2 linked regions of the Saccharomyces cerevisiae S288C genome follow. Changing the gene in region 1 together with any one later gene gives a genetic interaction. Each region holds a gene or a part of one and is shown on either strand. Other genes may lie near its edges.

Region 1 (3,874 bases):
TAGTAGTTGTATCTCACTTATCCGGACTTCTGACAGATCGTTGCTATCATTAATAGCGCCAGATCCAGTCAAAAATGCCCTTTTTTTAGACTCTGAACTAAAGTCATCACTTGTCAAAAAGAGTAGAAAATCTTTGTCCTTTTGTAGAACCGGATCTTGACATATTTTTTTTAACATGCTTTCCATTTGAAATCTTCTATTTTCAATGAAATTTTCCTTAAAACTGCCTACTGATTGCTTCTCTGGTGGTGGTGGTATTACTTTACCCCAATGGTTGTTCTGCAATTGACGATATAGCCACCTGAAATCTCTGTAACGCCTGCTTACCTGTGCATATTTTAGCTCAAGTAATGATGATTCACTGATTACAGTATACTCCACATGAATGGATGTTAGCTCTCCTACTTTGACCGGGTCTTTAACTTCAACTTTGAAAGCCACAGCCTTTTCGGTTGGTGGCACCTTTGAGCCAATCTTGGTTTTTCCAAACTTTTCTGAGTTTTCCTCGACCTCAGCAGGACTTGAAATATTAGCACCTGTCTGAGGAAGATTGTATAAAGGCCTGTCCACTTGCTCAAGGATATTTTTTTCAACAGAAGCTGTGAACTTGCCCTCATTGTTTTCTCTCCTTTCATTCCTATCGTCCAATGGCTCTTCAACAAATTCATTCTCTTTTTCAGCTTTCTTTAAGGGATCAGTAAAGGGTGTTTTGATGGTATCATCGGAAGCAGTTGTTCTCTTCGCTTTCAGAGAATGGTTGCGTTTGGAGTTTCTTTGAGCTCTGGCGGAATCAAACAGAATTCGTGGTTTGCCGGATCTTCTTCCAGAGATGCTTTTTGAAGTATTTGGTGAAGTGTTAGCATCGTATATCGTATCGTCAAAAACTAAGGGAGAGTTGGCGTTTCCAGTGAACAATGCGCCACCGGATTCTCTTGTTGCAATAAATTGTGTAGTGCTATTCTTGAGATCAGCAATCGGATCCTGTTCAGGGGCTAAAGAATTAATAAGATCGTCAGCTTTGGAATTGTCATGCTCCTCTAGTTGCGGATTACCAGCCACCGACAAACCAGGGTCTTTCCATTCTGGCGCACTATCCAAGTCTATCTTGTCCGCAAATGAAGCTGTGGTCTCTAAAAGCTCATTGTCTTTTCTTTCTTCATTTGTAGATATTTGACCAATTGATTCAATTGAATTTGAAACGAGGCTCTGAGTTTTATCTCCCTCATGATTTAGTTCGTCCCAAACAGGTGCTTCTAGATTATCCTCGTAGTCCATGGCTTGTTATTGCAGGATGTATGAAAGTTTATAAAATCCCTGCTGCAAATTAAGAGATATATGGTTTCGTTCACTACGTAGTTATAGTAAATAACCTTTGCTTAACCCATTTTTCAAAGCATTTTTAAAATTTACTGTTATCACTTAGTTGTTCTTAGCGGACAACTTCCGAAAAGTGAAATTTCATTTTTCAAAACGACAATAGTGGTATAGAATTATAGAATAACATACGTTAAAAATAGCTGAAGTTCATTACAGTTCTGTAGTGGTCAGCAAGGCATTTGACGTCTATTGGATAGCCTACGATGAAAGGTGATCGTTCGAGGCAAAATATGGCTGTGACAAAGAAGGCAAAGTTAAAAAAAAATGACGAGCCAAAAAAGGTTTTGAAGACTGCCGCGACCGAAAAAGGTGAGGGATCCAAGCGCTACTCCTTATGGAATTTCTGGATAAGCACATTGTTTTTAAAATTACTATTGATTCCTGACTACTTCAGTACAGATTTTGACGTTCATAGAAATTGGCTGGCAATCACCAATAAATTGCCCATCAGCGAATGGTATTATGAGCACACTAGTCAATGGACATTGGATTATCCGCCATTTTTTGCTTATTTTGAATGGTTTTTATCGCAATTTGTTCCTAAATCTGTACGTGATGACGGTTGTTTGGATATAGTGGAGATCGGAAAGTTCGGTTTGCCAACAATCGTTTTCCAACGACTCACTGTCATCTTCAGCGAAATTCTTCTATTTGTCATCCTTCAAATATACATTAATACTACAAAGCTAAGTGAAAGATCTCAAAGTTTTGTGGTTGCTTCTAGCATTGTACTATCACCCGGGTTTTTAATAATAGATCACATTCACTTCCAATATAATGGTTTTCTTTTTGCGATTCTAATAGGCTCCATTGTCGCCGCCAAGAATAAGAGATACATCTTGTGCGCTGTTCTGTATACTACAGCCATATGTTTCAAGCATATATTTTTATATTTGGCGCCATGTTATTTCGTGTTTTTATTGAGAGCATACGTTCTCAATGTCAACAATTTCAAGTTTAAAAGTTACAAAGATTTTTTGTTCCTGATAAGATGGGCAAATCTTTTGAAGTTGGCTACCGTTGTTGTTGGAATTTTCACTATTTGTTTCCTTCCATTTGCTCATCAAATGCCGCAAGTGTTGAGCAGGTTATTCCCATTCTCAAGAGGACTGACGCATGCATATTGGGCACCAAATTTCTGGGCGTTGTATTCTTTTATGGATAAAATACTCACTACGGTAATGTTGAAATTACCGTACGTCCACACTTTTGCTACAAAATTTATTAAACCTCCTCTGATCCCTCAGAATATCAAGGAAATTAATGAAAGGCTCGCGGCAAACAACAATGGAAGTAAAGGTCTAGTTCAAGACGTATTTTTTGTTATTCTCCCTCAAATTCCTCCAAAATTAACGTTTATTTTGACGATATTTTACCAGGTCTTAGCAGTACTTCCACTTTTGTTTGATCCATCGTTCAAAAGATTTGTTGGCTCGTTGACTCTCTGTGGGTTGGCATCGTTTTTGTTCGGGTGGCATGTGCATGAGAAAGCTATAATGCTAGTCATCATTCCGTTCACATTTCTTGTTGGATTTGATCGTCGTCTTTTGGTACCGTTTATGTTAGTTGCCTCAGCTGGTTATGTTTCCTTGTATCCTCTTCTGTACAAAGGCCAAGATTTTTTCATTAAAACATTATACACTTATGTTTGGTGTATAATTTATTTTGCCGCTTTTAGAAAAACTACGAAGATTTCTTCAAGTGTAGAAAGAAGAATCTTTTTCTTGGATAGGTTGGCATTAACGTACATCTTTTCATTGTTACCAATCGTCACCGTATTACAAATATTGGATGAAGTCAAGTGGAGATATTCATTTTTGCAAAAATTTGAATTCTTAGGATTAATGATATATAGTGTCTATTGTTCATTAGGTATAATCAGCTCGTGGTTTGCCTTATCGTGGTTATATAATTTTGACGAATTACTATGGCAGTGATACAATATCGCTTCCCTAGGACGTTAAAAAAAAAGTGATATAAAATTATTTATATATGAATCGATTTTAGAAATATTTATTGTACATTTTCACCTACTAACTAATTGAATAACGATTAGATTTCGATTTATGCAGTCCCTCACGCCAGTTCCTCATTATTTTTCGTTTACGTATTGTGCGTTTTACACTTGAATTAAAATAACATTACATTAAACTGAATGAAGGTCAACTCCATTCACATGCATCAGTTGAAAGGTATATAAGTACTACTTCAATATATTATCTATCAGCTCTGGGAAAATGCTTTAAGAAGGAAAAAAGGTAAGTAAACTATTTTTTAACGCTTCATGATTATTGAATGGTCCTTTTGGCTCATATCGTTTTCATGAATCTATGACTATTTTCACTGATCATCGATTAATCTTTTCAAGGCAGTTCTAGCATCATCCTGTTTGTTGCTGTACGGGTTTTGTTTTAGTGAATCGTCAAAGCTAGAGGGAGCTTTCCCGGTTCCAACAGGGAACCCGTGTAAATTAGGAGTTGCACTGTTCGAAATTGAA
Region 2 (4,831 bases), on another chromosome or scaffold:
TTTCTTTCACCAGATTCGTATAGGGCTTGTTGCTGTGACTGTTGGTGGGGATGAAATGCCAAATTGTTAAAGGACGTTTCCAACGAATGTTGGGGATCATAATCATAAGCCATGTAATTCATTTTTACAACAGTATTCCAAACGAGCCGTGTATGCAAAAAGAATGAGGTCAAATCAAAAGATCAAGTACCAAGCCAGCTGATTCTCTTCTTACTAAGTTTGACTATCGTTTACATTTCTTGCTTGTTGTTTCATCAAACAATGTACTCTTTTCTTGTTTTAAATGATTTTTTAGCGGCGAAGGTAACAGCAGCAAAAAAAAAAAAGAAAAAACATTGCAAAATAGCTAATGGAAATGGATTTATTACTGAAATATGTAGAAATATTTAACTCGATAGATTTGATCATACACATATAATGCAAAATATATATATATATATATATATATATATATATATATATATGTGTGTGTGTGTGTGTGTGTGTGTGTAAACGTTCTTTTAGCATCTTGTATAGAAATAAATATAACCATTTTTTTTCATATCTTCAATGCTGTCGGCAGCAACTAGTTTCTCATCGTTATAAAGAACCCACTTCCATTTGTCTGCCACTAGTTTACGAATAAAAACAACATAGTGACCAGAATGGACAGAATTTCCCTTATGACAAATAACTGCAGTTAAAGCGTACGGTTTAGCGGTCGAATATCCAAGATCCTTTTTTTGTTGCTGTTCTTCATTTGGCACTTCAGGTTCGGGAAATGTTCCATCATCATCCATGTTGTTAAATACCCATTCAACACTACGATTAACATCTCCGTTGTTGAGTATCAAGGCTTTACGACATAAGTTGGGATTTAGTCCCATGGATAACATTGAAGTCAATGATACCTCATCCACTTCTCTCTTATCTTTCTTGGGGACATTAGGAGGCGGGACAAAGGGATCATTTAAATCAGGGTCATCCATATGCTGGAATAGCCAATTCATAGCGCTCTCAGCGTCTTGGTTTCCGGTGTTAAATAGGGCGCGCACGCTAGCATTTTGAGTAAAGCCCATTTCAATTAATTGAGAAATACTGCATTGGTTTGGCGTAAAAGAGCTACGGTTTTCGTCCTCATCAGGCAATAAGTTTTCAGTTTGAGGATCAAATCCTTGTGATAAATAAGACGAAACATCTAGCATATCATCCCTGTCTATTAAACCTGGTAAAGAAAGCTCATTACTTGTCTTAACAGGAATCCAGTTCTGTAATCTAATCCTTATTGGGTTCAAAATAAGTGTTTGAGGAAGAGATTTGAAACCAGGTTTTTTATTTGCGGTAACCTTTTCCTTACAATTAGCACATTTAAATTCAATCGTCTGCCCTTCAAAATACGCCTTGATTCTCTCTAACATATCTTGAGGTTCATCATTCTCCTCTAAGGGAATCTGTATAGCCTCTGTGGGTTCATAAGAATATTTAACCTTCCCGCAAATGTTACATTGGAGCCTATCCTCCATCATAAATCTAACTAAATCGTTGGGATTTGGAATACCTGAAGAACTACTTGAAAAAAATTTCTTGTCTAACAAGTCTAAAAGGAAGGTTAGAAATTCCATCGCATCCTGTTGTCTATTGGAACTGAATTCCTGATGATTTTGCCCAATGCATTTCTTGAAAGTAGTAGGTTTGATACCATTTGGATATAGTTCGGGTTCACATTTCATGGCATTGAGTAGCTTGATCCATTGGCACTTTAAATTATTGTCCGGATATACAACATCCAGTGGAAATTTACTTCCTAGAAAATCCAAGGACCAATTCGGGACGCCACCATTCACCAAGCTTTGTATAACCGAATTTAAGTAACAGGAATTACCCAAATTGATCAGACCACAGCCATAATTCTTACTAGCGGATAATTTTTCAAATTCTTTACCGCTAGAATCGACCATTCTAAATTGCCAATTTTCGTTCTGTTCCACTTGTAATTGAACTAGAGTCTTTTCATCCGCAATCTTTTCTTGTATGTTAATTCCGTATATTTGTAGTGCACTGCCTAAATTAACATTATCTGGAAATCTAGTTTCGTCGTCACATGCGTAACAATACAGATCATAGGTTGAAGAGCTTAAAGACCCTAATTTGATAGCTAATGGGTGATTATTATTACTCCGATAATGATCCAAAGCATGCGAGTGACCATCAATCCCGATTTGTTCCCTGCCACATCCGATATTACCACAATGTAGGCATAACCAGAGATTTTGAGTCAAATCACAGGAAGAGCATTGGTTTAAATTCACAGTATTTTCGGGCTTAGATGGAATTTGAAAGTTTTCTGTATGTGGACAGGTGCTGATTTCTAACACCCAGGAGTTCTTCTTATCCTCGAAGTCTTGTGACTTCGCCTTTAATATCTTTTCAATCTTCTCCAAGGCCGTAGAAGAAATGTCAGAGTCTGTCGACTTCGAAAGTACGGTCCTGGGAACATTTTCACCATTGAACCTTTGTAAACTCCAAATAGTGTTGTGGGTGTCGTCTTCTGACGTCTCAATTACCTGTAGCTTTATTTTTTTGTTGTTATTATTTTCTTCTACATTTTCTTGCTTAGGTTTCTCCACTTTAGCAATAGTTAAATAATTGGAATGTATGGTATCGCAAGCATATTCTGTGACTCGGATATGGAGTGGAACATGTCTGTTGCACGTAGCTTGGAAACAGTTTAAGCATATATTCAATGAATGTTTAGGTGATGCATTGAGGGCCAATGGTTCATTATAAGGGGATTCAAAGCAATAAATACACTCATCTTTTGAAACGACTGCAGGAACGTTAACGTTTTCTAGTACTGCTTCTGCCATTTCTGAATGTGAGAAAGACTTCGGGCTCTCTTTTTGGATGAATTTACCTGTCATCTCTACTGCCATTGCAAGTCGCTTTTCACTGTGATTTCATCAAGTGATAAATTTGATCTCATTCCAAACGATGTCATTTTTCAAAGGCACATCAACTGTTATAAATTATATCCTATAGCCACAAGCAATTATTAGTTTATGTATTGTGTGTATATTTATGTAACTCTATCCTCCATGATATCCTCCTAAATTTTCTGTCCCCTTGCCTCCAGCTTATACTATTATTAACCGAATAAGGATATAAATAATCATTCAAAGGAAGCAATACTTTAGTATACCGAAGAAACTCAAACTGAAAATTGTGAGAAAAAAAACATGGAGGAAGAATGAATCAAAAGAGGCCATTAAATAAAAGGGTAAATGTATGTAGTAGGTCCAATAAAGCTTTTCCACCACTTCTTCAATAGTATTTAGTATGCCTTCTGATTTCCCATTACGTCTTTTAGCTTCCTTAGTGGTGGGTATGTACACCATCGAGCTTTTATGTTGTGTCATTTCTTCCCCTTATGATATGTTCCACCTTTGTTCTTCCGGTTTCTACACTCTTTATCTCTAGTACTTTTAAAATGGTGTCATTTCTGTCAAATTGCGAGCACTATTACTCTTCACTTAACCGCTTCTCGTTAAGCGCGTCAGGAGTAAACGTCATCTCGCACGATATGCTTAATGCATATGATTTGAGTTACTATTGTTCTATCAATTTAGTTTTTGAGGAAGATATACGGATTGTCTGCGCCTCTATATGTAACAATGTATGTATATGATTTTATATGTGCTCTATTTATCGAATCATTTCTCGCTTCTAAAGACTGAGAAAAAAGATCTCCTTTTCCCGTTACTGCCACCACTACTGGATGCACTACTTGCCATCGCTTCACGACGGACCCTTTCCAAATCAAGCGATTGACGGGCCCTAGCGAAGGATTTTCTCATCTCTGATGGAGTTGAGGTGCTAATAGTAATGCTGCTATTGCTATCCTTATCCTTCGAATGCCGGTATCTTTCCAAATCGTGCCTTTGCTTGGAACCAGTCCTGTGTGTTTCATGCTTGCCATTTGACCGGGTTGACAGTTCGTGACCAGTACTGTGGCGCTTATTCTCAGTTATTGCGGTGGAAGCATGAGGTGAAACTCTATACGAGTGATGTGAATTTGGTGCTGGCGAGTCGTTTTTATTTCTATGCTCTTGAGTTAACGTTGGTGAAGACAGATTTACTTCCTGGAAATTCAGATCCAATGACTGCCGCGGTTGCCTTGTTGATACGCTGCTGAAGTCCTTGCTTTTGAATTGATTAGACTTACTAGCATCACTTGATCTTGCCTGGTCTTTATGACCTCTTTCATTATGGAGTGGTCTTCTTTCAGCTGTTTTTCCTCTCCTTGCATCATCCAAATCAATATCAATGCTTTCGCTGGAGACCATACTATCTCCCAATTCGTCTGTTGAATAATTGTTCCTCTTACTGGAACCTTTGCGTCCAGAAAGCTTAGCTTGTTGAATTGATGCAGACGATGAAGACGATGAAAAGGAGGAGACAGCAGCACCAGTATCATCTCTTGATAAGTCCATCTCATTCAAACTTAAATTTAAAACGCCATTTCGATTATTGTTCGAGCCTTTGATAGTTCCTGAACCGCCGGCATCTTCGATACCGCCAGTTTGAGGCTCATTTGTATCTTGGAAAGATTGCTTTCCTGCATCTTCTTTTAATGGAGATAGTTCAATTAAGAGAGCTTCATTTTTAGAGGATGAGTGCATTGGTTCATTTGCAGAATTTCCTGCAAGAATTGGAGGTTCACCCCCCTGAGCATTTCTCATATCTTCTGTGGTATGATTTGTTCTATCAGAGACGTAAGTACCATTATTATTTGCATTTTGAATTTGCATTTGCTGTTGGACTTGCAGTTGTTGCTGAACTTGCATCTGCTGCT

The links. Genes that interact genetically often act in the same process or in processes that back each other up.
Region 2: mutations in ALG8 (region 1) and UBP14 together harm fitness more than expected from each alone (negative genetic interaction), as found in Saccharomyces cerevisiae (2 studies listed by BioGRID).

The regions. Positions count from the first base shown.
Region 1 is NC_001147.6:451,169-455,042, reverse strand, and holds ALG8 (dolichyl-P-Glc:Glc1Man(9)GlcNAc(2)-PP-dolichol alpha-1,3-glucosyltransferase), read left to right. Parts: upstream 1-1,580; coding exon 1,581-3,314; downstream 3,315-3,874. Other genes in the region: VAM10 (Vam10p), read left to right, coding at 830-1,174; VPS5 (sorting nexin 1), read right to left, coding at 1-1,275; MSA1 (Msa1p), read right to left, coding at 3,718-3,874. UniProt on the Saccharomyces cerevisiae protein: Dolichyl pyrophosphate Glc1Man9GlcNAc2 alpha-1,3-glucosyltransferase that operates in the biosynthetic pathway of dolichol-linked oligosaccharides, the glycan precursors employed in protein asparagine (N)-glycosylation.
Region 2 is NC_001134.8:353,172-358,002, forward strand, and holds UBP14 (ubiquitin-specific protease UBP14), read right to left. Parts: upstream 2,847-4,831; coding exon 501-2,846; downstream 1-500. Other genes in the region: MUM2 (Mum2p), read right to left, coding at 1-122; TSC3 (Tsc3p), read right to left, coding at 3,153-3,395; serine/threonine protein kinase AKL1, read right to left, coding at 3,690-4,831. UniProt on the Saccharomyces cerevisiae protein: Required for the adaptation to the presence of glucose in the growth medium; mediates the degradation of enzymes involved in gluconeogenesis when cells are shifted to glucose-containing medium.